3 linked regions of the Lonchura striata genome follow. The protein of the gene in region 2 purifies or fractionates together with the protein of the main gene of each other region. This does not show direct contact. Links are inferred from orthologs where the notes say so. Each region holds a gene or a part of one and is shown on either strand. Other genes may lie near its edges. The genes, in order: YWHAE, MAP3K2 and TRAF7.

The links.
Region 1: the proteins of MAP3K2 (region 2) and YWHAE purify together in Homo sapiens (affinity purification with mass spectrometry; 6 studies listed by BioGRID and IntAct, with this or other methods). This does not show direct contact. The link is inferred for Lonchura striata from reciprocal best matches to the Homo sapiens genes MAP3K2 and YWHAE.
Region 3: the proteins of MAP3K2 (region 2) and TRAF7 purify together in Homo sapiens (affinity purification with mass spectrometry; 3 studies listed by BioGRID and IntAct, with this or other methods). This does not show direct contact. The link is inferred for Lonchura striata from reciprocal best matches to the Homo sapiens genes MAP3K2 and TRAF7.

The regions. Positions count from the first base shown.
Region 1 is NC_134622.1:6,750,156-6,753,900, reverse strand, and holds the start of YWHAE (14-3-3 protein epsilon), read right to left. Parts: upstream 2,202-3,745; 5' UTR 2,070-2,201; coding exon 2,006-2,069; intron 1-2,005. UniProt on the Homo sapiens protein: Adapter protein implicated in the regulation of a large spectrum of both general and specialized signaling pathways. Binds to a large number of partners, usually by recognition of a phosphoserine or phosphothreonine motif.
Region 2 is NC_134610.1:14,453,293-14,457,037, forward strand, and holds the start of MAP3K2 (mitogen-activated protein kinase kinase kinase 2), read right to left. Parts: upstream 2,478-3,745; 5' UTR 2,377-2,477; intron 2,156-2,376; exon of another isoform or gene 2,070-2,155; intron 1-2,069. UniProt on the Homo sapiens protein: Component of a protein kinase signal transduction cascade. Regulates the JNK and ERK5 pathways by phosphorylating and activating MAP2K5 and MAP2K7. Plays a role in caveolae kiss-and-run dynamics.
Region 3 is NC_134618.1:16,965,402-16,969,146, reverse strand, and holds the start of TRAF7 (E3 ubiquitin-protein ligase TRAF7), read right to left. Parts: upstream 2,611-3,745; 5' UTR 2,503-2,610; intron 1-2,502. UniProt on the Homo sapiens protein: E3 ubiquitin and SUMO-protein ligase that plays a role in different biological processes such as innate immunity, inflammation or apoptosis. Potentiates MAP3K3-mediated activation of JUN/AP1 and DDIT3 transcriptional regulators.

The sequences.
Region 1 (3,745 bases), on a different chromosome or scaffold from region 2:
ATTTCACATTAACAAGAACAAATTATGCCAATCATTTTTAATTGTTTCAGCTGAACAGGAACAGAAAATTAAATGATAAAACAGTATCTACGGTACATTTTCTTCCAGGCCATGGACACGAGGGAAGTGAAGATGCATTTAGAGCAGCTGGCAGAATTATGTTGACCCAACCTGATTTTTAAAACCTCTGGAAGTCCAAAACCCACAGCACTGATTTAAACAAGACAACTTCAAGTTGTAACAAGCATCATGCCCATTCAGAAACAATACAGCACAACAAGTCTTCCACATTTTGCTCTGGGCAGCTTGTTTAGCCAACATTCATGGTACTGGGAGAACCCAGGGAAACGCTGCACCAAGGCAATAATCCTTCCCAATCAATTTTTATCAGCTGACAGGAAGTTTGCATTGCAGATCTGTGCCACAGGGTAGAGTCCTATTACCTTCTAACAAAATGATTTACTGCTGACTTCAGAAAACCCCAGAAAGACAGTCATGCCTCAAGAGCTCCCAAGGATGATGATTCCTCCAGGATGTTTGGTTTCCACTCAAACCAAAGCCAACACTTTCAGTGGCACTGACTCATTCATACCAGGTGGAGAACCTTTCCTTCCCTCCTCAGCAGAAGTTGCACACATTCTGTGCAATATGCATGTGTCCCTCTGCACAAGGTAATTATGGTACCCCAATACTTGGTTTCTGGGAGGCATTTTCATTCTCCAAGTCTTTCAGTTATTGCAGAGACTGCCTGACTGCTTTCCTTTAGTGGTACTATGAATTCTAAACTATTTTCCCATCAGAGCTCTAAATGAATGGAGTTTTATTTAGGCCTTCTTTTTGTTTTAGTTTCTCTTTTTCTCTCCAAAACGTGTATTTTTCAGATGTTCTGCAATGGTGCCATCGGATGTTTTTTGCCATCAGATGTTTTTTAAGCACAACTCAGTAAAAATGTGTCATTTGTTGAGAACTTGGTCGTGTTGTCTACAAAAATTTTTGAACAGAAAGCATTTGGAGTGTCTTCTTACCTCTCTAAATGAGGTGTTACTGCATTCACACATTCTATATACATATATTTATTTCACTTCAAATGAGTAATCACAGCTCTCAGGGCAAAGTAACAGTCTCAGAAGAGTCGAGAAAATTAAAGGTCCTTTCTATTATATGCAGGGGAACCATGTTTAAAAAGAGAGGTTGCAAGACAGACATTTTTGGGGCAAGAGACACCACCCAGGGTTGCCAGTTCCTCCCCTCTACCACTTTTCCCCCAGATATTAAATCATCACGGATATTAAATGATCAGGGATAGCACACAAACTTAGAGGGGTGGGAAAAGGATAAAAAGAAAACGCTGGGTAAGTAAAACTACCTGTAATAATTTCTACCACATAATGAACGCGTTTTCTTTAGGCAGTGAATCATGTACTCGCTCCCTGCAGGGTGAGAACTCGCTCTCTCTGGGTTTGCCAGGGGCAGCAGGATCTCCAGCGGGGGTAGAGGCAAAAAAGAAGCGCAGCCCCGTCCCCGGGGACCCCCAGGAGCACGGCCGGAGAGGGGCCGAGCGCCGGGCTCCCCCTCCGGAGCGCTCGGCATGGGCGTTGTCTGCGGCGAGCCGCCCTCGCCCGGCGCCGCCCGGCCGGGGCAGCGCGGGGCCGGGGCCGGCCGGACCGCCGTGAGGGACAGCGGGGTCTCTTTGTGGAGCCCCCGAGGCGGGGGCGGCTCCCCTGCCCCCCCTCCAGGACTCGCCCTTCGCGGCCGCCATTTTATTCCCGGCTCCTGCCGCCACCGCCCCCCGCCCCGGGCCCCGCCCCGGCCCGAGACACCCCCTCGCCCGGGCCCCCCATCCCCGCTTCCAGCGGCCCCTCAGGGCGCTCCCCGTCGCCATTTTGTGTGCGCCCCCTCCTCCGCCCCTGCCCCCCTCCCCCGCCCAGCCGCCATTTTGTGGCCGCTCCCTCCCTCCCTCCCTCTCCCCTCGGCCGTGCACGGCCTCCGGAGCCAGCGCGCTCACCATCGTAGCGCTCAGCCTGCTCAGCCAACTTGGCCTGATAGACGAGGTCCTCCCGATCGTCCATGTCCTACGGGCGGGGCGGCGGCGGGGACTGCGCGGGGCGGATGGCAGCCGATGGGTCCGGGGGGCTCTGCAGCTACCAGCTCGCTGCTCTCCGGGCAAATATGGCGGCAGCGCCTCCTCCCGCTGCATCCGGGCACTCCCGCGGGCGCGCGCATGCGCCCCGCCGCCTCCCATGGCAACGGCGGCTCCCTGGCAACGGGCGGGGGGCGGGGTGAGGCGGCGTGAGGGGTGTGAGGGATAAAGGGAATGAGGCGGCGTGAGGGATGAAGGGGGTGAGGCGGTGTGAGGAGGGTGAGGGATAAATGGGGTGAGGCGGTGTGAGGGATAAAGCGGGATGAGACGGGATGAGTGATGAGGCGGTGTGAGGGGTGAGGCGGGATGAGGAGGGGTGAGGCGGTGTGAGGGGCGAGGCAGAGTGGATGAGGCGGTGTGAGGCGGGGTGGGTGAAGCGGTGTGAGGGGTGAGGCGGGTGAGGAATAACGCGGGGTGAAGGATGAGGCGGCCCGGCAATGGCGGGGATGGATCCGCCGTTCCCCCGCCGGCCCTGGCGGGGCCGTGACCGGGACATGGCGATGGGCAGCGGGCCCGGCCGCCGGTGGCGTTTCCCTCAGGGCGGCTCCATCTCTCCGCGTTTGTGCTGCCCTCAGACGCTGACAGCGCTGTTTGAGTTACCCTCTCTCGGAATCTGGGTACAAATCACCGCGTGTGCTGCACATGGAAGGGTGGATCTGTGACCGAAAGGCAGACGGACAGATACAGGTTTCTACAGCCTCTCCAGGGTATTTGCTCTAAGTATCACCTCCAGTGCATAGCACGAGGTAATTTCAGTTTCAAGAGGCTAGGAAATCTAGAAAGCAAATTTCACAAGTTCCTCACACAGTACTTCTGAAAAACAAAAGGAGCATTCACTTAAATAACTGAGATAATGCCTCAATTTCTGGAATTAGAATGGTTTTAGAAAAAGAAAAGGGATTATGCATGGCTGGCATGAACTTGATCTTCAAAGATCCCCATGCCTGCAAGTGTTCAAGTCCAGGCTGGATGGGGCTTGGAGCAACCTGGTCTCATGGCATGGCAGAAGAATTTGAATGAAATGAGCTTTAATGTCCCTTCCAACCCAAACCATTCCATGATTCTATGATTTGCTCAGGGTAGCTATGAATGAAGTCTTGTCTCTTTCCCCAGTGTCTCCTTGGAAGTGCAGACTACAGATGCTCTCCCATCATTTCACTGCTGGGAGAAGTGCACAGAGACCTCTGCAAGTTTTGACAGCAGAGACAGAGCTGCCCCTGGCACCTGCTGGACACAAAGTCAGGTATCCCCATTTATTGTATTGTGTGCACTGAAATGGGCTCCTGATGGGTGACTGAGGGCACACACCTTGAACACCATTCAAAGCACATTTTTTCAGTAGTTTATTGCTGGCCTGACTTATTTTTTTTCAGTTGATGAACAAGAGTTTTAGGGTCTGCAAGATCAGCATAACCTTATGTTTTTCTTACAAATAAATCTAAACATGTGACAGAATTATTTTTATATCACTTACTCAGAAAATAAATACTCTGTTTTCAATGGATACTTAGGCCCTCTTTTTCACAGATCAGGATCATCTAATCAGGATTTCTTAAAAACAAAGACATCATGGACTAAGGTGAAAATTAGGTGTCAAGTCCAGAA
Region 2 (3,745 bases):
ATAGTTTGCCTAATTAGACAAACCTAGAGTCACTAGGCAATACACATATTTACATTAGCTTGTCACGCATATGAAAACACATTACATTTTCTGCAAATGTATTTAAGATGTACTTAACTACATCAGTCACATTTTCATCATTCATTTATTTTTCTCCAAGTCTAAACAAAAGATACTGTTAGTAGTACAGAATATCTAAGAAGATATTATTATAAAATATGTTCATTACTCCAAACTAAATGGGGATCTATGGATACTTCTCCACAGATCAGAACACCATTGGCTGTGTGTTGTGGAAGAGGGGGAACAAATGAAGGAAATCAATCTAAGTTCAGAGGATGACCAGTTAGACAGCCACCAAACAACTTGTCACGAAAACAGATTACTCATGACTTTTGACTTAGTTTGCTGAGGCAAAAAGTTAGCCTACAGTTATAATATGAAAGAAAAAAATATAAAACTGCAGATTGCCAAGATTTCAAAGCCTTTTTCTTCATAGTCCTTCACAAATACTTCTCATTAATGACAAGGTTTTAAAAACCAGTAATTCTGATTTGTATCTAAATATTAATAACTTATAGGAAATGATCAGGAAAAAATGTGATGTAAAAACTGTAACTGTGGACTAAAACTTCTGCTTCACCAACTTGCTTGCTTCCTCCAGAGAAAACTATAATAAAACAATCTCTCCTGCATTTAGAGTCACTAGGCTTTAAATTCCACAAGCATGTGGACTGACTGGCTTTCCCAATATTCATAGCAAATAACCCCTGATACATCTATGACCAAAATTGAAAGGTTATTCATTTTTTACCATAAATTAGTATTATCAACATAAAAACAAAACAAAAAAGCTTGCTTACTGATATTAAACAATAACATAATGCTCATTTCACTACATGAATAAATTCTGTCACAGCTCTCTATTTAATAACATTTACTATAAAACTCCTAAGATTACCAAGCTATTTTGGAAAAAAAGATTCCTCTGACAGTTTAGAAATCTCAGCAAGCCAAGGCAAGCAATGCAAAAATTTCTATTTTCTTCATCTTGCTCTTCTATTAGTGCCAGGTAAACCACCTGTTCAAATACCAACACAGAGTTCATCAAGGCAAACTCTACACAGATTTTTCTTCTCAAGCAATGAGTCAATCTGACAAATGTTATCTTCCTGTTCTGCTTTATCAACACACACTAAAACCTCGGGGTGGGGGGGGGGAGGATCAAATTAATTATACACAGCTTTGCTACCTGAATCAAATCTGGGGTCAATACGTATTGGTGGCAGTCATTACAGAAAACAGTGTAAAGGAAACAGGAATTATAGCAAGTTCTGACTTTTAAATAGATTTCTGAGGAAATCAGTTATTTACAAAGTCACGGTAAGGAAAGGTATGGGTGAAAGCAGGAAAAGATAGTGACGAAAAAGAATTATTCTAAGGTTTTTCAGTGTGGTACAAATACTAGCTCATCAATGTCCTTTCCCTTAGAATTATCCCTAGGGAATTCCACAGGAAAGAATACTTTCTCGGGTATCTCCTTAGTAAGTGCTTCGCCACAAGAGAACCCAAGGTATTGTGCAAGACAAGCCTGTGGCCATTCACTCTGGTAATACGTCTCTGCCATACACACAGCAATACAATTCTGGAGGCCTCCAACGCTCTGCAACGTGCTGCATTGTTTAAAGAAAAGAAACGCTGTAGTTGAGAGACGTTTTCTGCGCGGACTAGAAATCCCCCTTGTTTTAAGGCAGGCTTCTATTATCTTTTACCACCCTCTTAAAGGACAGTGCATGATACAATACAGCTTAGAAGCTCCCAGCTAATTTAGCGCTTTGATCTTCAGTAATGCCACAGCCAAAAACTAAGAAGAGATTTACGAAGCAAGAGAAACCAAGGGGGGAAAAAAAAGGCAGAAAAACCTCCCAACCTCGTGGGTGCTGCAATGCACTTCAAAAGCAACACGGGAATAAATAATCAAACATTCACTTTTTCCCCTGACAAAAACATCTCGCAGAATCTGACCTACATACCCAATTCACAGCACTACCACTGCAGAGCAATTCCAAGACGAGAAACCACAGCATCAGCGAGCAAACACAGGAAGGTTCAGGGTGACACAGAAATACTCGGCAGGCACGTAAAAACACTTCAGGTAATGCAGCGGTAATGTAAGGGAGCAACATTAGCGCGTGTCTCCCGGCACCGCAAACAACTACGGTGCCGCGCAGCTCCACCCGCACCGGGCCGGGTTCGTGCTGCCCCCGGCCCCGGCACCTCCGGGACCGGCCCGGGGCCCGCAAGGCGCCGGGGCAAAGCCGCCCCGCGGTTCGCACGCGCTCGGGCCGCCGCGCCCGCCCCTCCCCGCACACCCACCTATGTCACGGCGGAGGCCGGGCGGCCGCCGGGGACCCCCCGCGCTTCCCGGCGGCGGCGGGAGCAGCCCCGGCTGGGCGGGCGGCGCGGAGGGAGCGGCCAGGATTCCGGAGCGGAGCCCACCCCCCCGGGGGAGGGGGGGAAAGGGCCCGGGGCCTGCCCGCGCCGGAGCACGGCGGGGACGGTGACAGGCGGCGCCGCGGCCGGCGCGGAAGGAGCGGTGCGGCTCGGCGGGCGGAGAGGAGCGGGCAGGTGCCCGGGGGCGCTGCGGCCGCGGCGGGGCCGGGCCGGGCCGGGCCGGGGGTCCCGTCGGGCGTGAAGCGCCGCGGCCGCCGCTGCTGCCGCCCGCGAGCTCCGCCCCGCGCGCGCCGGGCCCCGTGACGGGAGGAGCGCGAGGCGTCACCGCGCGGCGGCGTCACGGACGGGGGGCGGCGCGCGCCCGGCGGCTGCGGGGGCGCGTGCGCGCCGGGACGCGCCCGGGGTTCGAGTCCCGCCGGGGACGCCCCGCGGCACCCCCGGGCCGAGGGCACCGGGGCCGTGTGGCTCCGCCGCAGCGCCGCCGGACAGGCCGGTGGGTCAGCTCACCGCTCCCGGACAGCCGAGTGTAAGAGAAGCCCGGGCTGGTGCCGTTCCGCGGGATCGGCGCCGTGCGAGGGCAGGATGGGAAGGGGCAGCGCGGTCCCACCACTGCCATCGCTCACTGTATAAATCCCGGCCCCGCCGCAGCCCGGCGCAGGACGCGCCGCCCTGACCTGCCTCTTATGGGGGCTGTGCGCGCTTTTAGGACGATTTGTTTAGAACGGCGCTCTGCCGCCTTCGGGACGCCCATTTCTGCCGGCACAGACTGACCGCTCCGCAGGAGGCACCTGCTTCCCGCAGGAAGTCAATGCATGCAAGGAAGAAGGATGCTACCCTCAGTTAATCAGCGAGGAAGCAGTCCCTGGTACGTAGCAGGCCAGCTATTACAGCTACCCTTGCGGTCTTAAGTAGCCGATGACGGTGAATAATAGCATGGCACTGTAATTAGTTTTGTACAGATTTACCAGTAACCTTACAGGCATGACTACTGTGTGCGAGATGCACAAATGACCTGTGCATGTTTAGTGGATGCCCTTTGAGACACTGCCAGGCCCGGTGTGTTCACACAGAGCTGTACAGAGACAGCAGCGACCTTTGCTGGGGCACCTGACTCCACTGCTGCTCACATGCTGCTTTCTGGGCATGTGCTAAGAGGTATTTAACATGTAAGACAGCAAGAGGTTTGCAAATCCTGAACAAGCACTCAAAATCTACCCAAAACAAGGGTTGGGGGCTACATTGGTCACCCTTAACAAACATGTGAAATAATACTTGAACAGAAGTTTAAGAT
Region 3 (3,745 bases), on a different chromosome or scaffold from region 2:
TTGCCCATGTGGAATGTGTTTGGAGAATTGTTTACCTGGGGTGATTGCTTGATTAGATTCTGGTGAGGATTGTTTGAGCCTGACAGCCAATCCAACCCACCTGGGGCTGCGCTCTCAGAGAAGGTCACGAGTTGAGTTAGGGTCAGAGAAAGTAGTATGTAGTTTTAGTACCCTCCTTTTATATAGTATATTAATGTATTTTAGCATAGTTATAATAAAGAAATAATTCAGCCTTTTGAATTGAGTCAGACATCCTCATTTCTTCCCACTGGGTTCACCTGCATTTACAATAGCTGTGCTTGAGGCAAAGCAGGAGCAGCTTGAATGGGTAATTTGGGGTGCTGCTGCCTTTAGGCTCCAGGGGGACTTGTTGGGCTCAAAGAGGGGTGACACGTACCCGTGTGAGCATCCAGCTGCCTCCCTCCTTGTCCCAGCTTCCCTACACCCCCTGATCCAAGCCACGGGCACAGGGACTGCTGGTGTGTGCAGATAAAAACCGGGAGGGAAGAGCTCCAACAGACTGAACACGGACCAGGAAGGATTTTCTCTCCTGTGCACTCCTCCTGCCACACCTGGGCTTGGCCGGGATAACCCGTGAGAAAGGCACAGTCACGCTCCAGGAAATGCCACAGCCAGGCCAGCAGGGCTCGGAAGGTCCCTGGCAGCAGGGGAAGGCTCAGCCCTCGGGGTGACCGATGGCTGAACCCCACTGGGGCTGCAGAGCGCCCAGGAGCAGCCCCAGGAGCAGGGCAGGGCTGGCAGCAGCACACGGAGCTCTGCAGCCACCCAGAGCCTGCAGGGCTCCCCGAGGCCCTGGCAGAACCTCGGGGAAGGGAAGGGCTGACTGCAGGCAGGGGACACAAACTTCCACCTGCAGCTCACACGTGGCTCCAGGCCACCAGGGGCTGTGCTGCCCCAGGAGTGCTCACCCTGGAATCCCCCAGCTCAGGGAACCAAACCACCCCAAAACCATGGATTGGTTTGTTGTTTTTTTTTCCTTCCTTGAGCCCAATCAATATGAAAACCCCTGTTTGAGTATGAGCAATGAAGGTATCAGCATCCCCTGCCTGGAAACACCACTGTGGCTCAGGTTTCCCATTTCCACGGGGTAAAACGTTCCCTCCTTGAGGCAGTGTCGCCTGCACACAAACCAAACCCAGCGCTGGAGCTTCAGCCTGTCCCTTCCCTGCTCCACACAGGGGACCCAGGGCCTGGAGGGAATCCAGCAGACTGCAGACAGGACCCGCTCCTGCAGCTTCCTGCAGGATTTTAGGGATTTCCCTTGCCAGGGGAGGTGCAGGTTGCACATCAGGAGGAATTTCCTCATGGAAGGGGCTGCCCAAAGAGGTTTGGAGTCTCCATCCCTGGAGATGTCCAACGTGGCACTCAGAGCTCTGGGCTGTGATCAGTCACAGGATGGACTCTGTGGTTTTGGAGATTTTTTCCAACCTAAACAATTCTGGGATTCTGTGATCTGAGACTACTTTCACCCATCAAAGGCTTTCTGGAACCATCCTTCACCCCCAAACCCTCTCCTGCAAGCCCCACCATCCTCGCTGTGGCTGGAAGGAGCAGCCAAAAACACTTGAGGCCAAAATGCTGCAGCTTTTAAAGCTGTTTAAGAGGAACCCGAGTGCTCAGTGCAGCCTGGAAACACATCGCTGGGGGGGGAAAACACGCAGGGAGGCAGAATTACACTGCTGGGATTGAAACAAAGGCACAGCAACGTTACCAAAGTGGCAAAGACAACTGCTGGGTCACAGTTCTTGGGACAATTCTGGAGCCACTCCTGTAACACCCACCGGCCCTGCCGCTGCCTCTGAGCCCAGCAGAGCTCCAAAGGAAGGGGAACCCAAGGGAAATGCTCCCCGCTGCCCTTCCCAGCACACGGCTCAGGGATCCCAGAGTTTGGCAGCGTTTGTCAGCGGGACAGCGGCTGCAGCGGCGGGGGACAGAGCCCCAGAGCTGGCTTGAGGCGAGGTTGGCACAATGCACAGCCCATAAGGGCAGGGGACAGAGCCCCAGAGCTGGCTTGAGTAGAGGACAGGTCGGCACAATGCACAGCCCGCAGGTCACAGCCCCGACCCACACCTGCACCTCTGCGGCAGCCACGGAGAGCCACTCCCGGCCAGCCCACGCTGTGAACACTGTGGGCCCAAAGCCCAGCGAAACGAGGCTCCCGGGAGGGCAGGGAAACACCGGCAGCAGCAACACGTGCTGCGGTCGGGCACGGAACGGAGCGGAAAACGACAAAACCGAGCAGAAAAAGCCGCAGCTACGCGATGACACCCAGCCAACACACCGGCGGCAGTGAGCGGGGCCGGAACAGCGCAGAGGATGCTCCAGCTGCTCCGAGCGCCCCACAGAGCCGCCGGCACCCCGGGCACAGCGGGCGGCGGGCACCGGGAGCCTCCGCCGGCCCCTCCGCGGCCCGCGGCCCTGCCCCTCCCGTGGCGGAGCCGCCCGGCGCGGCCCGCCCGGCGCCCCCCGGCCCGCCCGTACCTCCCAGCGGCGGCGGCGGCCGCAGCGCCGGTGCCCGGTCCCGGCACATCGCGCCCGGGCCTGCTCCTCACCGGCGCCCGGCCCGGAACTGCCGCGCGCAGCGCTCCTCGGGACTTGTAGTCCCGTGCGCCGCTTCCTGCCTGTTCTGCCGAGTCGCATGGACTACAACTCCCAACACGCCCCGCGGAGAGCCACTCCATGCTACAACCGCTGTTGCTACTGGTTCTGCCCGGCCTACTGCAGTGACCAATCAGAAGGTGGCAACTACCGCCTCGGGCCACGCTGCGCTGCGCGTCGCCATTGGTGGAGAGGAGAACAGCGACCAATCAGCGCTGCTAGAGGTGGGGCGGTGGTCACGCCAACCGCTGGAGATTGGCTGTGCCCACAGCAGGCTGACCAATAGTGGCGTGGCAGTGGCCATAAAAAACGTAGCGTGGCGCGAGCACGTTCTTTCCAGCCAGAGGCGCGGCGCAGGAGAGGACGAGGGGTGAGGGAAGCGCGGCCGGTACCGGCGCTATTACCGAGGGCGGGCCGGTGATGATCCACACTAACCTTTCTGACACCTCGTCTGAGGGCGGCGGGCGGCCGCAGCCCCTGCTGAGCAGCCCCTGCTGAGGCCCGCGGAGCCGCGGCCCGGCGGGGCGGCCGGGCGGGCTCTGCCCTCACGCGCTGCCTTCTCTCCCCTCAGGGCTCGGCGGGAACCGGCGGCGGCGTCCCGGAGGCTCCGTGCCCCGTCCCGGCACTCCCCGGCGGTCTGGGCCGCTCGAAGGCGGCGTTCGTGATAGCAAAAAGGTTTTTAAATCGTGGGGATTTAGGGTTAGAAGGAAAATTAAGCTTATTAGGCCCTGAAAAAATACCCTGGGTACATGTAGGCCTTGTACATTGCTAGAACAGCACCTCTGTAGCTAGTACATTATAAATGATATAATTGTTAGATGTGATGATTGTTTAGTAATTAAATATAATTACTGTTTAATCGTAAGAATAATCATGAGAAACTGGTCAGAGGCCTAGGGAAGTTCACGAGAAACTCGTGCTTGAATAAAGTCAATGTATACAACAGAACAATGTTAGCTTAATAATTTGTAAGTTACAGCAAATATTAATGAATTAATAATTAAATATTAATTAATTAATAATTTAAATTCGCAAATATTGCCACTAATATTACATCTGTAATGTTAGAAAGTTATGCTGTATTCTCTTATGTAGTGGGCTAAATATAGTTTTAGGTTCCAACAGA